6 linked regions of the Ovis aries genome follow. The main gene of each other region encodes a partner of the protein of the gene in region 4 in a complex. Links are inferred from orthologs where the notes say so. Each region holds a gene or a part of one and is shown on either strand. Other genes may lie near its edges.

Region 1 (4,019 bases), on a different chromosome or scaffold from region 4:
GAAGCATAAGCTGGAATCAAGATTGCCAGGAGAAATATCAATAACCTCAGATATACAGATGACATCACCCTTATGGCAGAAAGTGAAGAGGAACTAAAAAGCCTCTTGATGAAAGTGAAAGAGAAGAGCGAAAAAGTTGGCTTAAAGCTCAACATTCAGAAAACGAAGATCATGGCATCTGGTCCCATCACTTCATGGGAAATAGATGGGGAAACAGTGGAAACTAGTTTTTGGTTCAAGCCAATTCAATTAAACCTACATTTATGGGGTCCCTCAAAGATGATTTACCTTTGAACTAATGAAGCCTAAGCTGATGCTCCTGACTTGCAGGGCCACTGAGAAAACTGAGGGATGCTGGGCATTTAGACGCTGGAGTTCTGGGTAGGAAGCAGAAACCAGGTTGTACACAGGAAGTATTTCTATGTGGCATTCTGGTAAACTGCCTGAAAGTTCACAGAAGGAAGGGACCTGAATCTCCTAGCTTCTAGTAATTTGTCGTAATCTCTTTTTGCATTGTTTCGCAGTCACTTCAATCCAAAAGAACTCCATTAAGAACCTATTCGGCTTGTTAGGTTTTGAGGCCAAGTGAAAGTGTCAAAGTCGCTCAGTCGTGTCCGACTGTTTGCGATCCCATGGATTATACAGTCCATAGAATTCTCCAGGCCAGAATACTGGAGTGGGTAGCCTTTCCCTTCTCCAGGGGATCTTCCAAACACAGGGATCGAACCCAGGTCTCCCGCATTGCGGCTGGATCCGTTACCAGCTGAGCCACAAGGGAAGCCCTTTGAAGCCAAAATTAACTTTATTTCTCTTTCCAAACACAGGAGAAAGAACAGAAGTCAGGAAGTCGTATAGTTTAATACAAAGCCACTGTGCTGCTTTGGAAGCCTGTAAGATGGGAGTAAAGTTAACCCGAACAAGGGACGGTTTCCCCATCCCACCCCTTCTCCGTGAATCCTAGCTCCCACAGACGCACGAGCCGCGCGGGCTCTAGGCCGGAAATGACGAAAACCTCTCGCGATACTCTCCCAACTGCCGCGAGACTTCGTGAGAGTCAGTTCCCGACTCCTTTTTCAGTGTGCGCAAGGGCTATCTCCTCCCCGCCTCTTTCCTCCGCTACCGCGGGGCGGGCCGGAACTTCCATGCGTAGGAACTGGTTTGTACAGCAGAGTGTTGCCGGCCGGCGTCAAGAAGAATAGGGTGCTATCTTCCTCTCACCGTCGCCGCCGCGGAGCGGAGCCGAGTCCATCAGATCAAGGAGCGCGGTGACCGGGAGGGTTGGGTCTATGGTCGCTCCGCGCTCCGCTCCGCCGGCTGGTGCTTTTTTATCAGGCCAAGCTGTGTTCCATGGCAGGGAACTTTTGGCAGAGCTCCCACTAGTAAGTGATCTTCCGTTTTCTCCGGGCCTGGCTCTTGGAGGTGCTGGGTGTACGGGGCCTGCGACTCCTTTTGGCCTGGATCTCGGCCCCTGTCCGGAGCGCCGCGGAGGCTCCAGGGAGGCGGCGGCCGGAGGCGGGATGTGCTTTTTCTTCGGCGACTCTCCTCACCGCGCCCCGTTGGCCGGGTTTTGGAGTGGTAGAGAATTTCTTGGCGGGGGAGGGTAAGAGGGATTGCGTCTCCGGAGGAGGAAGGTTCGAGAGTTTTAGCTTCTGATTTTTGGTTTAGCTAGGCCGAGGTTGGGGGCAGGGGAGAGGCGGGGCTGGCGAGGGTTGGGATATGGGATGGACACAGGTATGGGAAGTGTGACAGTTCAGAACTGTGAGGCTGGCTTCTCAGGACAGTTGTGGTTCGATCTCGCCTGATATTTGTAAAGTAGGTTGGCATCAGTAATCGTTTATCATTCTTCTGTGTTGAGTGGATTGTTACTCCAAGGAAAGGAGGGAGTCAGGCTTGTTTCTGCTCATGAACCGCATTCTGCCACTGTCTTTAAGCCTATATGGTTTTTATGTTTGTAAGTTATAGATCAATTGCTCTCAACATTTGTCCATTTCGTTAGTCTGTGTCTCATGTTTTGTTTTAAAAGTGTATTTTCTAGAGACTTTACCAATATCTTTAACGTGTTTTCCAGAATAAGTTTTTGTTGACGTCTGTACCGTGGAAGAACTAGAGTAATATTGAAAGCATTTCTCCCTAAATACATTTGTGTAAGCAGATAGGACGATGGTGATGGGACTAATTGAACTTTGGGTAGGCTGTACAGTGTATAGTTGAAAGACACAGAACTTGATGATACCTTAGTGTAAATACTTTTTCATGCGAAGAGAGCATAAGTAAATTTTGAGTGTGAGGATGGATTCCTATATTATTCAATTGGTATTTTAGCCGTTTGCACTAGAAAAAACGAAACAATGGGCTTTAAAACCTATTTTCAGAAAAGCAGGTTTTCTTGCTGTAAGTGGTTCTGTGGAGATGAATGGCTATAGAAGCTTTACTTCCGATCATATTTAATTTGCACTGTATTCACTGACTGAAATATTTGCTTGGGCAAAATTAAAATATGGAAAATTTCTGTAGTGAAGTAGTAGTATTCTGGTTAACTTTGAAAGAAGCTGAAAAAATTGACAGGGAGCCAGTTGTTGATTATCAGAAGTTACAGGCCTTTTTCAACTTAAAAAAAAGAAGTTTGACCCTTTGATAAGTCTTCTCATTATGCTTTCATTTACTGTTGGCTTATTAAAAAGGGGCCAGGATGTATTTTATAAAATCAATTATTTTTTCACTTTTCAAATATAAAATTAAATGTGCTGTTTTTAAAACTGTCCTTGCCTTCCTAATCAAATAGTCCTGGAGGAAGGGGCCACTTTATCTTACTCAGATCCCTTGGGAATCATGGAGTCCCTGATCTGCAAAAGGTAACAAATATGAAAGACAAGACAAGCAATTCAGGAAAAACAAAAAGATGATGAAAGCCATTGTTTTAGGTGATTTTGGTGAAAGAGGAAGATTGATATGATTTTTCATGGCTTAAAATCGCCCTTTAACATTAACTGCTGCTAGCAGCAGTTAAAAAATGGATAACATTGCTGTTATCAGCATGGCAGTTTTTGTTTCCTTCAGTAACATAGGAAATAATGGTGAATCTTACAATCATGTGTAATTTTAAATTTGAGAATATGTGGCGTTAACTGGTTTGTCTTCCATGCTGTGTGCTGTGAAGAAAAACAGTTGTTTGTGGAATTTATCTTTTTAAATATTTGAAATAACTGTGGAGAAGAAATGGATGATTTTGAAACAGAGACACTGGTAGTATTTTTCAGGAAGTTAAGTAGAACACAATACATTCTTTGACCATGATGCAGTAAAACTAGAAGGACACTAGACATTTGCTGGTTGACTGAAATAATGAACAGGTGACAAAAACTAAAACTACAAAACCAACTCTGGATGCTTTACTGTAGCAAAGAGAGCATTTAAAATACACTTACATATTATCTAGGAAATAGTATAATGAGATTAATATGTATTCATATCTTTGGGATGTGGCCAAAGCCAAATTTATAAGAAAGTTAACATCTTGAATAACTGAAAAAGAATAAAAATTATATATTTTACTTCAGAATATTAAAAAGGAAACAGTGAAATAAACCTAAGAAAAACAGGCATAATAAAGGTAACACTGATACTGAAAAGGAAAAAAACCGTCAAATTATAAGAGCTGCCTCTTTGGAAGGGAAAACCAAAACAGTAGACTAAACTATGCTACTGAATATAGGGGAAAAGGAATGGTCAGTTCAGTCCCTCAGTCGTGTCTGACTCTTTGTGACCCCATGGACTGTAGCGCTGCTAGGGTTCTCTGTCCATAACCAACTCCTGGAGCTTGCTCAAACTCATGTCCATCCAGTCGGTGATGTAGGAATACAAAATTAGGTAGGAGAAAAGTAAGTAATCACAGATGTACCTTTGGGTTATCTTCATTTTCAAAGTAAATTTTAAAGCCAGAACAAAGTTATCAGAGAGCTACTTCTTTAAAAATTGCTCCAGGCCCACATTATTTCATAGGTAAATTTTTACCCACTTTC
Region 2 (4,028 bases), on a different chromosome or scaffold from region 4:
TATTTTACAGTGTCCCTCTGCTTAGAACACCTTCTGTCCCCCACCCCCACTCCCAGTCACCATGTTTCTAAATCCTATTCATCCCCATATAGGCTCTAGTCAAATGCCACCTTCAACAACAAGGTCCTACTGCATAGCACAGGGAACTACATTCGATATTCTATAATAAGCTATAACGGAAAAGAATGCAAAAAAGAATATAGATAAACACACATATGTATAACTGAATCACTTTGGTGTACACGAGAAACTAACACAACAGTATAAATCAACTATACTTCAACAAAATAAAACAAAACAAAACAAAACAAAAACAAATGTCACCTTCCTAAAGCCTTTCCAGGTATCCCCAAAAGAAAATAACCTTTCTGTTCACTGAAGTCTCAAAGAAACTTCTGCCTCCACTTTTTTATATTACATAATATTATTTATTTATTTTTGGCTGCTCTGGGTCTTCATTGCTGCACGCAAGCTCTCTAGTTGTGGTAAGTGGGGCTAGTCTCTAGTTGTGGAGTACAGGCTTCTCACTGCAGTGGCTTCTCTTGTAGAGCACGGGCTCTAGGGTGTGTAGGCTTCAGTAGTTGGGGCACATGGGCTCCAGAGCCCAGGCTCAATAGTTGTGGCTCACAGACTTAGCTGCTCTGAGGCATGTGGGATCTTTCCAGATCAGGGATCAAACCCATGTCTCCTGCACTGGCAGGTGGATTCTTTACCACTGAGCCACCAAGGAAGCCCCTGCCTCCACTTTTGACACTATGTTTCTATATTTAATTATGGGATTTGTACAGTGGCCTTAGCATCCCTACTAGACTATAAGCATCCTAAGAGCAGGGACTAGGTAGTGATTATCTTTATAGCCCAGTACCCACTCCAGTGTTCTTGCCTGGAGAATCCCAGGGATGGCGGAGCCTGGTGGGCTACCGTCTATGGGGTCGCACAGAGTCGGACACAACTGAAGCCACTTAGCAGCAGCAGCAGCACACATACAGTAGATACTCAAGACACTTGATGTTTACTAACTGAGTGAATGCAAGATACAAGCAGAAGCAAGGAATATAGATGAGGAAGGAGAGTAATTTCAAGGTTTCTCCACCACTCTTTGAAGTGATCAGTGGTACGTCCTCTGGTATTAGGAGTTACTCACCTGTGAAGGGGTCAATATGTCTCTTCTTAACCTTGGTCTCTGAGATTGCTGCATAGTAGGCACAGGTCATCTTAATGAGCCAGGCAGCCCGCATCACAGGCACTGTGTATTTGGCTAAATACCCAAACACTTCTTCCTTCTTACTGAAAATGGGGACCTGAATGGACATTGCAAACAGTGAGACCTCTCTCACCCCAGTGAGCTGACACCCGTGTACTTCAATCTGAAAATCAGAGGGTACTTGGTACTCACGTTCCCCCCTTTGGTCTAAAGAACAGGAAACAGTACCTCACCTTTTTGGCTAGTTGTGTGAGTGGCTTGGTGCCAGCCAGATCAGTAAACCAAGTATTAATGGCACTCTGGGATCGTGCAGTCACCAGCCAGAAGTTGTCCTTCTGGTTCACTTGGGGCTTCCTTCTACCAATGTCAGGGAGGGTGTTACAACGTAACTTCTCTGCAATGATGCTGCTGAAGTTGGAACTGATCTGAGGGAAGAAAGCTACACCTCAGGGTGGGAAGACAGAGCAGAAAGGTGGCTGTGCCTTTGATGGGCAAATGCCAGTGTGGTAGCATTAGGTTACAAAGGAAAACACCGCCAGTTAGGTCATCCCTTTACGTCTTCCCAGCCCAGGGTCTTTGCTCCCTCTCAGATTCTTCCAGCCTTTTCCTTCAGCCTGATGGGGTTGTCTCACCTTGGCAGGATTAAAGTTGACATTCTTGGCAGTGCCATGTTCATCCCCAGAGACAGCGGGCTGGTTATTGAAACCTTGTTTTACATTCAAGGCCGTTAATTCATCCTGAGGCAGGAAAACAACATTTTAGCTTTTTCCTTCCTTGGGGGAGATGGTGGTGGTGGTGGAAGAGGGCAGAAGAGAAGGGAACAAGGGTGGAAAAAAATAGGAAAATGATTGGGGAGTAGATAGCACATTATTATTTTAAAATAATCTCTTATATTAATTTGGACCCCCTCACCCCCACAGTAATAAGATTCCCAATCCCCAGAGCTCCCTCAACAGCACTCTTCCCCTGCGAGTTTACAAGCAGCCTTAGTTCATCCAGCCGCCTCAGACAACTTTCTGAGGTGTGTGTGTGTGTAGAGGGGGCGCCTCCAGCGTGGCCCCAACATCACTCCCGGTTCTAGCCCAGAAACCAGCCCCCACCTCCCCCAGGTCTTACTCTCCGATACCAGTCCACTTTACTCTTCCCCCTTTCGGGACTTGCACTCCCACAGAGCCGCCCCGCCCCCGCTTCCCCCAGCCATCAGTGCTTCCTCCTCTGCCGATCGCTGGCCCCTGGCCCCCTGGGAGCCCGAATTTCTGAACTCACCTCCTTCTGTTTGGGATCTTGAGGGTACACATCAGGAGGCCCCAGCCGCGGCCGCTTCAGGGGCCGGTGTTCGTAGCTCAAGATCCCGAAGGCCGCCATCTTGCTCAGCCCGTAACGACAGAGGCGCCAGCCGGGCCGATCGCGGGGGGGGGGGGGGGGGTGGGTAGGGGAGAGGGAGCCGAAAAGAGGGGCGGCGGTGGCGAGGACGGCAGCCGAGAGACTACAAGGGGCACGTTAGAAACTCCCGATCTTTGCCGGAAACTACCGAGGGAAACCGAGGGACGCCGGGAACCGTCTGACAATACCGACCGCGGCAGGGGCGGGCCCAGCCCGGCGTGGGGCGGAGCTCCGCGCCCCCGGAGCTTTTCGGCGCCCGCCACGGGAGGTGGATTTCACTCAGTCAAGATTCCTGCAGCGACCGCCAGTCGTGTGCTGCGCTGGGGATACGAACCTGCGAGGTGGGAGGCGGCCGAGGCGATGAGCTCCTACTGGAACTGGGTTCTCTGAGCCTCTCTCAGTTCTCGGCCTCGAATAAGGGCTAGATCGTCTGTAGGAACTCTTGCCTTTTTCAACCGCTTCTTCGTTTTTGCATCTGAAAAATAGGTATACTACTAACACCTCCTTTAAGGGACTGTTGCGAAGATTAGAAACTACATATGCATGAGAAAGCACGTGTTAAATCCTGAAAGGTCGGCTCTAATCCCTCAAGGTCTTTATGGTACATCACTGAGGTTCTTAACCGCTTGTGTTTCACAATCCCTTTAATATGCTGATGGAAGCTAAGGCCCTTCTTCCCAGAAAAAAAAATGTGCATAGAGATATACAAAATAGATACTTTCTAAGAAAAGGAGTATGTCAAGGCTGTATATTGTCACCCTGCTTATTTAACTTATATGCAGAGTACATCATGAGAAACGCTGGGCTGGAAGAAGCACAAGCTGGAGTCAAGATTGCCGGGAGAAATACCAGTAACTTCAGATAATGCAGATGACACCACCCTTATGGCAGAAAGTGAAGAACTAAAGAGCTTCTTGATGAAAGTGAAAGAGAAGAGTGAAAAAGTTGGCTTAAAGCTCAACATTCAGAAAACGAAGATCATGGCATCTGGTCCCATCACTTCATGGCAAATAGATGGAGAAACAGTGGAAGCAGCGGCTGACTATTTTGGGGGGCTCCAAAATCACTGCAGATGGTGATTGCAGCTATGAAATTAAGAGACGCTTACTCCTTGGAAGGAAAGTTATGACCAACCTAGACAGCATATTAAAAAGCAGAGACATTACTTTGTCAACAAGGGTCTAGTCAAGGCTATGATTTTTCCAGTAGTCATGTATGGATGTGAGAGTTGGACTATAAAGAAAGCTGAGCCCTGAAGAACTGATGCTTTTGAACTATGGTGTTGGAGAAGATTCTTGAGAGTCCCTTGGACTGCAAGGAGATCCAACCAGTCCATCCTAAAGGAGATCAGTCCTGGGTGTTCATCGGAAGGACTGATGGTGAAGCTGAAACTCCAATACTTTGGCCACCTGATGGGAAGAACTGACTCATTTGAAAAGAC
Region 3 (4,253 bases), on a different chromosome or scaffold from region 4:
ATGAAATGAGCATTTGGGATGGGCCAAAGCAGGCAGGACTTATGTGTCGCCCATGCTAAAGGCTGTATTTTATTGTACGGCCACTGGGCAGTTATTAGCTCCACACTTTATTCTCCATGCAACAAGGAAAGATATGACTGGATTTACATTTTAAAAAGATCATTCTAGGAAAATTGGTATGGATGCTTCAACCAGACAGGGTCACATGAAAAAAAGTGGCAATGAGGGGAGGCGGGTCCAAGTTAAAAAAGGCTTAAGAGACACGGTTTTCATATGTAATGCATGAGATGATATTATGCCCTGGATCAAAACACAAGATGGAGGAAACTTCTGAATATGAATTATATATTAGATGATATCAGAAATATACTATGACTCTTTCAGGTAATAATGATAGTATTGGGGTTATTAAGGAAAATACGCTTGCTTTTTTAGAGATGAATACTGAAAGTGTTTGGGGGTAAAATGTTACGAGATCTGAATCTGTCTTCAAAAACGGCAAAAGGAAAAAGATAGAGCAAATATGGCAAAAGGTCAGAAACAGACATCTAGATGACTAGATCTAGAAATCTAGGCTGACTGTTCACAGGAATTCCCTGGTCATCCAGTGGTTAGGACTTGGTGCTCCCAATGCAGGGGACCCAGGTTTCATCCCTGGTTCAGGAGCTAAGATCCTGCATGCCATGCTGCTGCTGCTGCTAAGTCGCTTCAGTTGTGCCCGACTCTGTGCAACCCCATAGACTCTATTTTCTTTTCTCTGAGATTGATTCCTGAATGCATGGCTTAAGCAACTGATGACTGACAGCGGCACTTACTGAGATGGGAAAGGCTGAAGTAGAGGCAGATTGAGGAGTGCAATTAACAATTTTATTTTGTCCATTGTAAGTTACTAAACGGATGATCTGAATTAAAGTCTAAATTCTTCCACTAAAGATTAAATGACCTCCAGAAAATCATAACCCTCCCTGGTCTTGAGCTTTCTCATCTGGGAAAGTTACTTCACTTCTATTTCCTGATCTAGAAGATGGAACTAATAACAGTATCATAACATTACCATATGATCTATTAATCTCACTTCTGGGCATTCACTCCTAAAGAATCCAAAGCAGGATCTTGAAGAGGTATGTGCACACTCATGTTCACTGAGTATTATCTATGATAACAATTTGGGTAGAAGCAATCCAAATGTCTGACAGACAAACGAATAAAGAAAATATGGTATGTACATACAGTGGAACATTATTCAGATTTTTAAAAGGAGATTCTCTTACATGCGAAAGGGTTAATGTTGAGGATATTATACTAAGTGAAATAAGCCAGTCATAAAAAGACACATACTGAATGCTTCCACTCCTATGAGGTTATCTAACGTTGTCAAAATTAGAAACATCAAGTAGAAAGGTTGTTGCCAAGGCCTACGGCAAGGGGAAAGGAGGAATTAGTGTTTAACAGGAATAGAATTTCAATTCTGCAAGATGAAAAAGTTCTAGAGATTAGCTATACAACAATGTGAAATACTTAACATTACTGAACTGTATGCTTAAAAATGTTTAATATGGTAAACTTAATGTTATGTATTTGTGACCATAATTAAAAGTAAATTGGGGAATAAAAGGGTGCCAGAAATTATGCAGGTAGCTTTTATATAACAGCCTCTCATCTCCATGGAAAGCGGAACAGAAAACAGGAAAACAGGTAATTCAAGCTCCCTAGTTCACTTACCCTGCAGCAGGTACTCCATCATGTTAATGGTGCCCCCGGTGACAGGCATCATGGTGACTGGAGGTGCCTCCATGTTTATCTGTTTAAGTTGAAAACGACAGAACTAGATTTGGAATCCCCAGTCAGGTAACACACAGGATACACCTGGGGAAGAGTTATACTTGTTAATACATGGGAGAGGCAGAGAGAGACCAGATCTGCTTGGGTCATTGGCCTGGAGATGAAAATTCATTCATCCACCCATTCAAAACTTTAGTAACTGCTATAGGCCAGTTTCAGGTGATCCAGAAATACACAAAGGAGGCCTGATCATGGAGTTACAGCATAATCTTTCAGTCTCAAGGTCTGAAACCCTTCAATGGTTTTCTGTGCACCCTGGGACTCAATGTCTTTCTTCTAAAATGAGGCCATGATATTAACCCCCAAGTCTTTGTGGCTCAGATGACATAATGGACCTGCAACTAAAGACTGAAAAGTGACTTAAGGACTCTTGTATGCCCTTCAATTTACAGATGAGGATGTTGAGGCTTGGGGAGGAGCCTAAGGACACACAATAGGTGGGTGGCAGAACCTATACCAGACTAAAATCTAGGCGTTCCACCTCTCTAAAAACCTTTTAAAGAGATTGAAGCGAAAGCACGAAGTTCTTTCCACTGATGCTTTGTGTTAGTCGTTCAGTCGTGTCCGACTCTTTGTGACCCCATCGACTTAGGCCTGGCTTCTCTATCCATGGGGCTTTCCAGGCAAGGATACTGGAGTGGGTTGCCATTTCCTTCTCCGGGGGAATCTTCCCAATTCAGGGATCAAACCCGGGTCTCCTGCATTGCAGGCGGATGCTTTACCGTCTGAGTTTACTAGGGAAGCCCCAATGATGCTTTAGGGCCTCCTAAACCCAGCATCAAAACGTGCCCACTTATACCAAAAACACACCGCCAAGCGCGTTCCAGCCTCTTCCAGGAAAGCGGGGGACCGTATTCACCCGAGCACCTCGGAGCTTTCGAGCAACAATCACCACCCCCAGCCCTAAACTTGAAAACCCCTAGGCAGTGCAACAATTCTCTCGCCTCTTCCCACGTCTGACAAAAACCTTTCGTCGCGCAAACCTCGACACCGCCACTCTGCGACGTAAGGGTGCCGAGAGGACAAAAAAAGTCTCTTCCGCTGTACGGCAAGCAGGGGCGCATGCGCAAACTCCGATGCTGCACGGAAGATGGCGGCCTCCTTAGGAGGGGTCCTTTGGGAGATTCAGGCGGCATTGCAGTCATACGCCATCTTCCAGGAAAATATTTTTTTCAACTGTGAAGACCTGGACGTGTTTTTGTCCAGGAAATCTCTTGGACCTGAAAGGACAAAGAGACCCTGGGGAAGAGAGCTTCAGAAAAAGAGGAGAGATTGTCGTAAAACAGAAACTTATTTTGGGTGGGTATCTGATGATAGAACTTCCCAGTTGCTCAGCGGTAATGAATCTGCCTGCAGGAGACACAGAAGCCTCTGGTTGGATCCCTGGGTCGGGAGGATCCCCTGGAGGAGGGCACGGCCGGAGGTTCACTCAGAACAGCTCCCGCTCCTAAGGAAGAGCTGCGCTTGGAGACTTTTGGTCCTCATCTGGCCCCTCCCTCCGGCCGGCGTGCGCGGCCCCGCGGGGCTGGGGTGGGGCCCACCTGCGCCTCCTGGGGGGCGTGCAACCCGCCTCAGTGGGACTCAGTCTCCTAACCACCGCCGCCGCCACACCTTACATCAGTTTGGCTTCTGATGTTTTCATTTCCCTTGCTGAGGTGCTGCTTCTGGGTTAAAGTCATCTTATTGCCTGTCCATTTGTAGACAGGACAAGGTCGCTCGAATAGATCAGGAGTCGAGCTCAGAGTGGGCTTCCCTGGTGGCTCAGATGGTAAAGCGTCTGATCCCCTGGAGAAGGAAATGGCAACCCACTCCAGTACTTTTGCCTGGAAAATTCCATGGCCGGAGGAGCCTGGCAGGCTACAGTCTATGGGATCGCAAAGAGTCGGACACGACTGAGCAACTTCACTCACTCCGGCTCAGAGTAGGTCAAAAGTACACACATGTTGGGAGGAGTGGGAATCAAAACAGAAGGAGGGTTGCCAAGTACAGCCAGGACTAGGTGTTCACCATGTATGCTTAATAAAGGCCAGAATCTCATCTGTCTCTGGTGGGAGGGTCTGTTGGTTTCACTGGATCGAATTCAACCGATCCGAACCAGTTTCATGGAATAAAACACTGGACTTCGGTGGCCACTGTTCCCATCAAGAAAGGATGGTCGCGTTTGGAAGTAAACATGTTGGAGAGCTGTAAACACCACAAACCTAAATACAGGTCACAAGGCTGAAACTGGGTCTAATCAGACCTGAAACCAAGGAAAAGAATTCGGCTTTTCCAGCTGGCTCTCCTATGAACTTTTGATGGTTTACTGCAGCTGGATTACAGGCACTTCCGAAGGTAGTGAGTCCTGTGGTGGGTCTTCCAGGCAGTTCTGGATAAGAGGCACTTTCCAGACTTCAAGACCGCAGAAGAAA
Region 4 (3,500 bases):
AATTCCCATCTAATTTGCAATTACAATTTTGTCCTTTTTTGAGACTGAAAGTCTGCCAGTGTACTTGTTCTCTGAGGCTATAATCTACATATGATTCTACAGCAGTTATAATCAAACGCACATGAAAATTTAACATTTTTCTAGTTTCCAAAAAATGCAGTCCTATCTAGCTAGCATTTTTATCGTAATGAGTGACCATGAGGGAATTCTATCTGAGGAACCCATTGGCCAGTCATATATTACAGTGAATACAAATGTTACACATGCTGCCAAGAGGACTTAGTATTAATTCGGTCTTTGCATGTAAGCATACATGCTACATCAAAGTGTCCAAACTGCTAACAGGTTTCTGTGGTGGGCAACTGCAGTTCATCTCCTATTTTCCATATGCCATGCAAAACAGCATGAGTTTGAATCCCCAGAGACAATCACACTGTGCTGTTTTCTCATAAGCAGTGACTTCTGTCTGGAACAGCCACAAAGACAACAAAACAGTGCCCACGATTTTGTAATAAAAGTTCTTATTGTAATAAAATGTTCTTGATATACATTCTTAGAGGTACCCATAAAACAGATTGGGATCACTCTTTCCAATTAGAAGGTATCAAAAGAAATAAGATTTTTTTAAATGCTTAAAATTCTTCTGTTAATACTGTACTTAAACTAATGTTCCTCCAATAAAGTACATATTCATTCACTTATAATTTGAAAGAAGAATGTCATAAAGTAATGGCTCTTTGAATCATTTTCTTCTGATTTTTAATTACCTATGCCTAACCTACCAACCTGAAAATCCAAATCAGGCTCTGCAAAGAAATGTTCAATCTGAGGCACAGCGGTGTCTTTGAGTACAGATAACGCGTGACCCAGAAACCCTGATCAGCAATCACTGCTATCTCAGAGAGCAAAATAGTAAGTGTGTAATAATGATCTTTACTCTAATTGGACTCCTTTCAAATTTTCCTGTTCAACAAAACTCTAAAATGATTATGCAGTTCAGATCAGAAAAGGAACTACAATGATTAACTGAAAACCTAAATAATTAAATTGCTCCCAAGGCAGTAAAATGGTTTATTGTGTATAGGAACCTGACTTTTCCCATTCAAGGAAAATGAACTGAGGACCAACCAACCCCATCCTAGTTGCTGGGTATGCAACAGTGGGAAAAAAAAAGAGGAAGGAAAGTCAGTGCATGGCAAGTATGAGCGGCATCAAGAGACTGCTGGTGTGTTCTGTAATAAAGCGGGAGGACTTCCCTGCAGCTCAAACAGTAAAGAATCTGCCTGCGATGCAGGAGACCAGGGTTCAATCCCTGGGTTGGGAAGTTCCTCTGGAGAAGGGAATGGCAACCCACTCCACTATTCTTGCTTGGAGAAGTCCATGGACAGAGAAGCCTGGCGGGCTACAGTTCATGGGGTCGCAGAGAGTCAGACACAACTGAGCAACTAATACACACACACACACAGTGACACACACACACACACACAGAGTGATGCAGACCACAGCAGGAGGACTTCCCACAGGCCACAACTGTGCAGTCCAGGAAGTAAGGGAACCACCAGCCCCACGTGCTGAACTTAAAGGCGCAGTACACTTATTTCATCCCAGAGAGTTAACAGTGCCAGTTTAGAACACCAAGAATCTCTGGGGTGGCAGACAACAGATTTCGATCTAAACAATGATCTAATTATCTAGTTACAGAAACTATCTTGCAGCAAAGGGGTGTGTGTTACTGTTTTGAGGAGCTTGTGTAAGAGGCTAGGCTGTGGAATGGCTCCTGAAGTGGCTGCACTGCTTGTGATCAGCATGCTAACCCCTGGCGTGCTAGTTGCTCCAGCTGTGCGGGCCAGTTTGAGACAAAACAAGCTGGGACACGACTGGAGAACGGCAGCAGAGAATAAGCCAGGCCCTGCCCTACAGAGTGCTTCTGGGCACACACTTTCATCCTGTTGGTGGCATGTTGCTTCCACAACCATTAGTTCTCAGAGCGTTTCAAAAATCTTGTGCCTGAAACTCCATGTTAAAGAGGAGAAGACCTAGGTAAAAGGATCCCTTAAGGTCATACAGAGACTAAACAAAAAAGGCAGGAATTCGAGTCCTATGACTCCATGTACTTCTCCAAGTCTAAGGTTCTTTTAAAGTACTTCACTGTCACAGTTTTTCATTCCAATACAGACTTTACACAAACATAATCATAAAGCCTGCTTATAAAATTAAAGTTGATTTCATTAAGATGATTTCTATACAAGGTCACAAAAGTAGCCCACAAACTGGACCTACAGCATAAATTTGTCTTAGCTTTTAGAATGTAACTCTGAATTAACTGTCAACAATTTTTTCTGTGTGTGTGTGGGGGGGGGAGGGGGGGGGAGGGGCGGGGCGCGCTACACGTCTTGCAGGATTTTAGTTCCCTGACCAAGGATTGAACCCAGGCCATTCACAGTGAAAGTGCCAATTCCTAACCACTGGACTGCCAGGGAATTCCCAACTATCAACATTTTAAAAAGGAAATGTACATTAAAATCTCTCACATTCCTGCCTGAACAACTCCCTAAGGTTGAACTGCCAAAAAAAAAAAAGCAAAAAAAAAAAAGTCCCTTTAAAGGGGACAACACACACTCTCGAACAGTTTGCTGTTGGCCCCGCTCTCCCCACACCCCTACAGCGACACTGAGTGTCAATGGCGGCTAGTATTTTGCTCGACCCTGTCCACTCCATTCACATATTGCTTACTTGGTCCTGACATTTGCGTTTGTGGCCTTTTACTTTAAAGCATTTACATTATGTCATTAAGAAATTATCAATCAAAGGGAAAACTAATTCTGCACTGCTGAAGTCAGAATTATTTGGGGACAGTACAAACTACGTACAAGCTATGACAAATACTTCCTTTTCCCTCCTCCATATCACAGCACCGTTCTATTGCTGCTTTCTTGTATGACATGGGGTCAGCAACAGAAATTAGCATATGAATACTTAACCTTAAAGTGCCTTAAGTAAACACATCTGAAATCATCAAAGTACATATAATGAAGTACTTACCACCATCACCCTAAAAATATTACCTACTCCAATCTACTGCTTGGTTCTGTGACAGACACTAATTTGACACTGAATGACCATAAACACCATGGTTCTCCACACAAATAACCTCAATGTTCCCATATATATGAAATTTAGAAAATAATATTTTCAACACAAAAGAATATGCACAAAAACACGAATGGCCGATGAAGTTTCAAATGAAATGCTGTCATCATGTAAAGTAAATACTTAGGTTAAATGATACAAATCCCATTAAATACAGCAGGTGACTTGACACGATCCCAGCACATACTTGTAGCCATCTCTAATGAAAGTGGCTGCAGGCGGCATGGGCAGCTGCTCAATTTTAGGAGGGATTGCCCACGAAGGCCGGAACAGACAGGCATCAGGAATCTTCAGAGGTAGCAGGCACTGGCTCGGCAACATCTTCAGTGGAGCAAACATGGAGGATCCCA
Region 5 (3,975 bases), on a different chromosome or scaffold from region 4:
TCAGGGAGACACTGGGCTGAACCGTGGGGTACAGACAGGAACCAAGGGCTGTCACCACGTCAAACCACGTGGGAGATGCTAGCAACACAGATGCTGACAACTGGGTGGCAGGTGTGACAACCTGGCACCATGAGAGGAGGAGCCAAGCCCTCCCTGGGCTTGAGGCCTGCTCCCCCAGGCAGGACACCCACCTTTTCCACATGCAGGGCCAGTTTTACACCGTTGTGCAGCCAGGACAAGGCCACGATGGGGTCCCCTTCCACCACGCTGCCCACGGGGCTCTCCCAGCTGTTGGCCAGGTGGTCAGCCATGCTCCAGCACTTGATCTGCCCATCAGCATCAGCTGACAGCAGACGAGAGCCTGAGGGGAAGGTGGGAGATTGGGCAAATCTGCATCACAAGCCCCATCCCCGCCGTCCATCAGGGTGGGGGGGCCGGAATGTAGAAGTCGTAGAGCAAGGGACCAGCACAGGTGAGTTCAGAAACAGGGGCGAGAAGAGCAGAAGCCTCAAAGGCACAGGTCAGGGTTTCAAGTCCCAGCTCTGAGCCTAGGGCTAAGGCCAGGAAGACAGAGCAGGCAGCCCTGGCATTCAGGGTGGAAGGCTGCCCTCACCAGACTGGTCCCACTCCAGGCAGGTGATGGCCTCGCTGTGCTCTGAGCGGATGGAGTGCACGTCCCAGGGATGCTCAGTGTCCAGGATGTGGATCATGCGGGTCAGGTCTGCGAGGGACAGTGAGGTCAGTGTGGCAACCACGGCCTGGTGCCCGACCACCCCAGGGGATTGGGCTGTCAAAGCCTATCAGGAAGCGTTAAAGCCAGGCTGCAGGGACTCCAGAAACATGATTTATACACAGGCAGCCCAAGGGGAGACCCATGGCCTTCTGTGAGGTTACAACTGTGCTTTCAAAAATGGACCCAAAACACTAACAGCGGGTGTCTCTCCATGAAAGGTTAGGGTTCTCCTCATCCTAAAGTTTCACGTTTTCCTAATTTCCTCTAAGAAGTGCATATTGCTCTGTGGTGGGAAGAATATCTGCCCTGCGGCAGAGTGCACCGCAAAGCTGGTGGCAACACGTGCAGCTGGAAAACTCCTGCAGGAGCTTCAGCAAGCCATAAGTGGCCACCACCCCCTCTCCCCCAGCCCTGCAGACACGGCCATTCCTCAAGGTTATCTCTGTGCCCCTCAGCACCCCTGTCTCAGAGGAGGAAACCCCATGGGAGCTGGGGGGAGGGCCCTATGAGGGGGCCTGGGATGGGGGTGGCACACCCTGGTCATCGCTGCGCAGGTCCGTGGTGAAGGCGATGAGGTTGCGGCAGGACCAGGTGCAGGCAAGGGGACCGGATGGGCAGTGGGTGCTCTTGGGCCATTTCTCCCACTCACAGATGTAAGCCAGGTCCATGGTGCCCAATTGCCAAGGTCACACAGGGAGGACGGTCACCAGCTCCTACAGGAGGGAAGACAGGCTTGTCATCCATCTTCACAGGGTGCCTGCAGGGCCCCGAGTGCGGTGGTGGATGCTGGTTACCACGGGGGACAAAGTGGACTCAACCCCTGCCCTGTGTGTGGCCAGGGAACTGCGTTTTACACAAGCATGGCCAGGGATCAATCCATGCAGCTGGGAGGAAGAGCATGCCAAGAGGAGAGAACAGCCAGTGCAAAGGCCCAGAGGCTTGACTGAGCCTGGGATGCTCAAGCAGTATCCAGGCCTGCAGAGCAGGAACAGAGTGAGTGGGGGCGAGAAGCAAGGTAAGGTTGGGGAGGGGATGAGGCAGGTCTTGCAGGGCCTGGGGGTTTTACCAGGAGGAAGATGGGAGCCCCAAGAAGCCTGTTTCTGTTTCACAGGCCCCTCTGGCTGTCTGAAGGGCACGGCTGGGGAATGGATGGTGGCGCTGGTCCAGGTGTACAGTGACGGGGACAGTGAAAGCTGCGACAAGAGGTAGCACCCAGGTCTATTCTTAAGGAGGACACAGGAGAACCAGTGAGGCTGCCTTAGACAGAGGTAGGGAGGCAGGGTGGGGGTTAGGCAGCAACTTGGGGCCTGGCTTCCAGGGGTACAGAAAGGGTCAGTGAAAGCTTGCTCAGCAGGCTCTTTGCACCCAGCCGCGACTAAGGTTATTTCCTTTCACCTTCCCAATCACATTACCCGCTGCTTCTTAAAGCCCCGCCCCAGAACACTGACACCCCGCCCACAAGCCCAACCAACAGTCATTTTAAGCTCTGCCCCCAAAGCCCTCCGGCCCCGCCCCTACAAAATGTGCCTTCCAGACCTCACTCTCAATTTGTCCCTGGCGTCCCCAGGCCCGGCCTAAACTTCTGTTTTTATTCCAAAGTCGCCAAAACAATCCCAAAGCCCCTCCTCCACACACCTGGCCACCTGGCCACCCAGGACCCGCCCCAACCCACCCGACAGTCCCTAAGCCCCGCCTCAAATGCATCCCAGGCCCTCCCCGGGGAGGTACAACCTTAGGCCCTCCCCGGTTTTACACCGCCCAACGCAGGGAGCCTCAGGTCACCCCAAATTTCCGCCACGACCCCCCAGACCACGCCCAGAGCCCTCAGGGAGCGTACCCAGCACCCTCTGCTCTCCAGGACCGCCCTCTGACTCCACAGGCCCTGCTCCGACCCATAATCCCAGCAGCGTCGGCGCCATCCGGAGGCTGGCCGACTGCCCAAGCCCCCAGCCCCACACTCACTGGACCAGCCTGTACGCCCACCGAGAAGGAGGCTGCCGTCTGCATTCGCTCTAACGCCCCGGCTCCGGCGCCGCCATCTTCCCAGGACCAACGAGTCTCCCGCGCAGCCCGGCTGCTTCCCGGAGACTTCTGGGACCTCAGTGGCTCCGCCCCGCTTCCGGGGTAATTTGCATACAATCGTGCCTTTCCAACAGCCATCTGCGTTATATTTGATGGAAAAAACAAACTTTCTCAATTTAAGTGAATAATCCCCTTAGATTAGGCCATTATTGCACTAAGTTAGTAAAAAAAAAGGAAAATTGCTGTATTGGTTTTTGATAGAATTCGCCCTCAGCGTAAAGTATTTGGTTCTGTCTACTATAAATAGTTCTGGCGTCTGTTCGTGGTTTGTGCTCGCTTCGGCGGCACATATACTAAAATTGGAACGATACAGAGAAGATTAGCATGGCCCCTGCGCAAGGATGACACGCAAATTCGTGAAGCGTTCCATATTTTCGCTTTTTATCACGATGTCTAGCCAACGTGTAACTCGCTTATAAGCCAGGTAACTCAACCCATCAAGGGCCGGTAGAATCAGTCTCCATCCTCAATTCCTCCTCCAAAAGCTGTCGGACTCTCCCCAGTCTGGAAGGTCTTTTCCAGAAAGACATAGGATTGATTGCAGGGAAGGGTATGACAGAGAGCAGGCAACATCTGGGCAAAGGTCTGGGGGCCGGGCTGTCTAGGGACGCGGTGTGTGGAGAATCTACACAGCCAACCAGGAAGCTGGACAGGACGGAGTCCGCGTGGGTCTGGAGGCAGCCTGTGGGCTTGCCCTGGGCCCCCCACCCGTGCCCTGAGCCCCAGCCGGTCCTCTCAGTTCAGTTCAGTCGCTCAGTTGTGTCCGACTCTCTGCGACCCCATGGACTGCAACATGCCACGCTTCCCTGTCCATCACCAACTCCCTGAGCTTACTCAAACTCATGTTCATCGACTCGATGATACTATCCAACCATCTCATCTTCTGTTGTCCACTTCTCCTGCCTTCAATCTTTCCGAGAATCAGGGTCCTTTCCAATGAGTCAGTTCTTCACATCAGGTGGCCAAAGCATTGGAGTTTCAGCTTCAGCATCAGTCCTTCCAATGAATATTCAGGACTGATTTCCTTTAGGATTGACTGGTTTGATCTCCATGCAGTCCAAGGGACTCTCAAGGGTCTTCTTCAACACCACAGTTCAAAAGCATCAATTCTTCGGGGCACAGCTTTCTTTATGGTCCAACTCTCACATCTATACTGGAAA
Region 6 (3,500 bases), on a different chromosome or scaffold from region 4:
TCCCACCCCCATCCCCATGTAGGCAGATGAAGTGGCACGAAGCCTGTCTCAACATTTCAGCGGCCATCCTGGAAATCCTCAACGCCTGGGAGAATGGGGTGCTAGCCTTCGAGTCCATCCAGGTAGCTCCTCTTTTCCGCAGCCTTCCCTCTTCCCTAAGGCACAGCCAGTCTTTGATAGTTTGCTACATTTCATAAAAACAAAACGACCCTTCCTCCAGAAGCCCGTGTGTGGGCATTGGCCTCCCCTGTAGTCATAGTCTAAGCTACCCTCTCTCACCAGGTGACTTTGGGGAAATCAGACTTGTGGTGAAAAGAGGCTTGGACGTGGCCCCAGACCCCACTGCTCTGCTGAGTTGCTCACGGAGGCCGGGGAAAGTGATGGCCAGGGAGGGCGCGAGAGGCCCCAGTCACTCTTTTTCCCTCGCCCAGAAAATCACAGATAATATCAAGGGGAAGGTGTGCAGCCTGGCAGTGTGCGCTGTGGCCTGGCTCGTGGCGCACGTGCGGATGCTGGGACTGGACGAGCGAGAGAAGTCGCTGCAGATGATCCGCCAGCTGGCAGGGCCGCTGTACAGCGAGAACACGCTGCAGTTCTACAACGAGAGGTCGGTCCCTTCTTGAACTCTGCAGGTCTGTGGTGAGAAGTCAGCCCCTCCAGTAACCACTCTTCCTCCTCCTCTCTCTCCCTCTTTGGAAAAATCAGTCATTTATTTATGTAGCGTACAATGAATAAATGGGGTCTTCACTGCGGTGCGCAGGCTTTCTCTAGCGGCGGCGGGCAGGCGCCACTCTCTGGTTGTGGCGTGTGGGTTTCTCACTGCGGTGGCTTCTTGTGTGGCGGCACACACGGACTTGGTCGCTCAAGACACGTGGAATCTTCCCACACTAGGGGTCAAACCCGTGTCCCCTGTACTGGCAGGTGGGTTCTTAACCACTGCACCACCAGGGAAGTTACCCCTCTTCTCATACCTCCCCAGACATGCCACTTGCCTGCTCACTCACATTCTCAATCACATCTTCACTCACTGACTCAGCAGTGCTTGTATGTGTCTTCTTGCCGGCCGTGTTTATAATCCAGCATCTGCTGTGTGTGTGCCAAACTCCAGACCCCAAACGGCCAGGATTCCTGCCCTCGGAGAGCTTGAGTCCCAGGTGCTTGCTGGTGGGAACAGTCTTATCTCAGCTCTGTCCCTCTCTAGGAGCTGTAGAGCCCCTCTATAGTGTTTACAGGCTGTGGGCCTGTCCACCCCCTCCCTACCCTGCCCCCACCCCCTCTTCTGTGACTTTTTCTTCCCTGGACTTTTCAGAGACTTGGAAGACCTCCTTAGCAACTTCAGCTATGTTGAGTCAGGGGGTGTGGGTTTGTTTACCCATCCAGTAAGCTTTTTTAAAACATTGTGGTAAAAAAATACATGATCTAAAATTTACCACCTTAACCATTTTTAAGATAACAGCTCATTTTTATTTTTTTCTGACTCTGCTGAGCCTTTGTTGCTGCACGTGGGCTTTCTCTAGTTGTGGTGAGCTGGGACTACTCTTCATTGCAGTACACGGGCTTCTCATCGTGGTGGCCGATCGTGGTGGCCGCTCGTTGTGGCGTGTGGGCTGTATAGGGCGCTTGGGCTCAGCAGTTGTGACTCTCAGGCCCTAGAGTCTGGAGGCTTCAGTAGCTGTGGCACACAGGCTTTTTTACTCTGAGACATGTGGAATCTCCCCAGCCCAGGGATCGAACCTGTGTCCCCTATACTGGTGCGTGGATTCTCCACTGTACCACCAGGTCCAGCGGTAGGGTTCAGTAGTGTGTTAAGTATATTCACATTGTTGTGAAACATCTCTAGAATGTTTCCATCTTGTAGCTCTGAACCTGGACCAACAACACCCCTTCCTGTCTTTACCCCAGCCCCTGGACCCATTAAACACCACCCCTTTCTGTCCTTCCCCAAGCACCTGGCAACCGCCACCCTAGCTTCTGTTTCTGTGAATTTACTATATAAGTGAAATCATATCACGTTCATCTTTTGGTGGCGGGCATGTCTCACTTTGTGTAATGTTCCTCAGAGTTCAACCACACCGTTGCATGTGTCAGGACTTCTTGCTTTTTAAAGGCTGGATTATATTCCATTGTATGTATATGTTGTATTTTGCTTATCTGTTCCTCAGCTGATGGACACATGGGTTTCTTGCACTTCTTGGCTGTTGTGACTAGTGTTGCTATGAATGTGGGCTTGCACCAAACATTAAGTTATGAGTGATGACCCGCAAGGTAGCCATCAAAATGTCTTTTAAGGGAAAAAATGGAAACACAGCTGATATGAGATCGGGAGGGTCTTTTTCCCCTGCCTCCTTCTCTGTTCCTCCCCTCCTTCCTCATCCTCCTCCCACAAATCAGGGACTATTTTCTTTGATATAATTGATTGTGAGCACCCTAACTGCTGTCTGGGAAATCTATGGCTCCATCCTGCAGGTGGGAAAAGTGGCTATGAAAGTCGTGGTGACTTTCCCAGAGCCATGCAGTGTTCCCTGAACGGTTAGCTCTCAGGCCCAGACCTGCATTCACCATCAGAGACTCCTGTCATGAGGAAATTCCTGGATGTACTTACATTTGCCCAGCTACCAAGGGCCGGGAAGAGTCTTGTGGGGCAGCCCTTGGGCCCCTGTCCTGGAAGTAACAGTTTACTTTGGGAGGAAGCCAAGGCCGGGTGGGGAACCCCCCTCGAGCACAGCCTAGAGGGAAGTGATTGTATTTATCAATATTGACGCCAGAGGATTGGCAGGCCCGGGCTTGGAGGGTGGGGAAGTTGGAGGGAGAGACTGAGAGAGGAAAAAAAAGTATGAATATATTGCTGAAATGACCCGAGAGGCAAGTGCCCACCAACCCCCTGTAGGCTCGGTGCTGGCACAGGGCTGGTGGGGTCACATCTGCTCAGGGTTTGCAACTTCCTCTTGTCCCCTCCCTCCCTCAGCACAGAATGAGGCTGATTTCCCGGTTCCTGGTTCCGTAACCCTAATCCTGGGAGGAGTGGGGCCTGGGTGTTTCCGCCCCGACTCCCACCCCCTCTGTTGAACCTGTACCACTGGCCCTCCCCCGCCCCCCCCCAGGGTGGTGATCATGAGCTCCATCCTGGAGCACATGTGTGCGGACGTGCTGCAGCAGACCGCCACGCAGATTAAGTTTCCCTCCACGGGCATGGACACCATGCCCTACTGGAACCTGCTGCCCCCCAAGCGGCCCATCAAGGAGGTGCTGACGGACATATTTGCTAAGGTGCTGGAGAAGGGATGGGTGGACAGCCGCTCCATCCACATCTTCGACACCCTGCTGCACATGGGTGGTGTCTACTGGTTCTGCAACAACCTGATTAAGGTACGGGAGTGCTGGGGGTGGGCTGTGGGAGCAGGCATCCTCAGACTGCCAGAGACAGGCCTGATGAGACTGAGCTAGGTCTGGCTGGCTGGCTCCCCAACCCTCAGCCTGGCGAATCCCAGCTCAAGAAGGTT

The links.
Region 1: MED13L (region 4) and CCNC share a complex: the UniProt entries of both Homo sapiens proteins name them as parts of the mediator complex. The link is inferred for Ovis aries from reciprocal best matches to the Homo sapiens genes MED13L and CCNC.
Region 2: MED13L (region 4) and MED12 share a complex: the UniProt entries of both Homo sapiens proteins name them as parts of the mediator complex. The link is inferred for Ovis aries from reciprocal best matches to the Homo sapiens genes MED13L and MED12.
Region 3: MED13L (region 4) and MED18 share a complex: the UniProt entries of both Homo sapiens proteins name them as parts of the mediator complex. The link is inferred for Ovis aries from reciprocal best matches to the Homo sapiens genes MED13L and MED18.
Region 5: MED13L (region 4) and MED16 share a complex: the UniProt entries of both Homo sapiens proteins name them as parts of the mediator complex. The link is inferred for Ovis aries from reciprocal best matches to the Homo sapiens genes MED13L and MED16.
Region 6: MED13L (region 4) and MED24 share a complex: the UniProt entries of both Homo sapiens proteins name them as parts of the mediator complex. The link is inferred for Ovis aries from reciprocal best matches to the Homo sapiens genes MED13L and MED24.

Annotation. Positions count from the first base shown.
Region 1 is NC_056061.1:37,531,378-37,535,396, forward strand, and holds the start of CCNC (cyclin-C), read left to right. Parts: upstream 1-1,219; 5' UTR 1,220-1,347; coding exon 1,348-1,379; intron 1,380-4,019. UniProt on the Homo sapiens protein: Component of the Mediator complex, a coactivator involved in regulated gene transcription of nearly all RNA polymerase II-dependent genes.
Region 2 is NC_056080.1:63,829,577-63,833,604, reverse strand, and holds the start of MED12 (mediator of RNA polymerase II transcription subunit 12), read right to left. Parts: upstream 2,801-4,028; 5' UTR 2,570-2,800; coding exon 2,471-2,569; intron 1,942-2,470; coding exon 1,837-1,941; intron 1,630-1,836; coding exon 1,438-1,629; intron 1,302-1,437; coding exon 1,145-1,301; intron 1-1,144. UniProt on the Homo sapiens protein: Component of the Mediator complex, a coactivator involved in the regulated transcription of nearly all RNA polymerase II-dependent genes.
Region 3 is NC_056055.1:238,803,761-238,808,013, forward strand, and holds the start of MED18 (mediator of RNA polymerase II transcription subunit 18), read right to left. Parts: upstream 2,801-4,253; 5' UTR 2,653-2,800; exon of another isoform or gene 2,642-2,652; intron 1,867-2,641; exon of another isoform or gene 1,802-1,866; 5' UTR 1,796-1,801; coding exon 1,723-1,795; intron 1-1,722. UniProt on the Homo sapiens protein: Component of the Mediator complex, a coactivator involved in the regulated transcription of nearly all RNA polymerase II-dependent genes.
Region 4 is NC_056070.1:58,896,993-58,900,492, reverse strand, and holds part of MED13L (mediator of RNA polymerase II transcription subunit 13-like), read right to left. Parts: coding exon 3,338-3,500; intron 705-3,337; exon of another isoform or gene 1-704. UniProt on the Homo sapiens protein: Component of the Mediator complex, a coactivator involved in the regulated transcription of nearly all RNA polymerase II-dependent genes.
Region 5 is NC_056058.1:41,109,603-41,113,577, forward strand, and holds the start of MED16 (mediator of RNA polymerase II transcription subunit 16), read right to left. Parts: upstream 2,801-3,975; 5' UTR 2,696-2,800; intron 1,927-2,695; 5' UTR 1,800-1,926; intron 1,447-1,799; 5' UTR 1,402-1,446; coding exon 1,269-1,401; intron 722-1,268; coding exon 614-721; intron 362-613; coding exon 192-361; intron 1-191. UniProt on the Homo sapiens protein: Component of the Mediator complex, a coactivator involved in the regulated transcription of nearly all RNA polymerase II-dependent genes.
Region 6 is NC_056064.1:40,087,936-40,091,435, reverse strand, and holds part of MED24 (mediator of RNA polymerase II transcription subunit 24), read left to right. Parts: intron 1-22; coding exon 23-122; intron 123-431; coding exon 432-607; intron 608-3,101; coding exon 3,102-3,366; intron 3,367-3,500. UniProt on the Homo sapiens protein: Component of the Mediator complex, a coactivator involved in the regulated transcription of nearly all RNA polymerase II-dependent genes.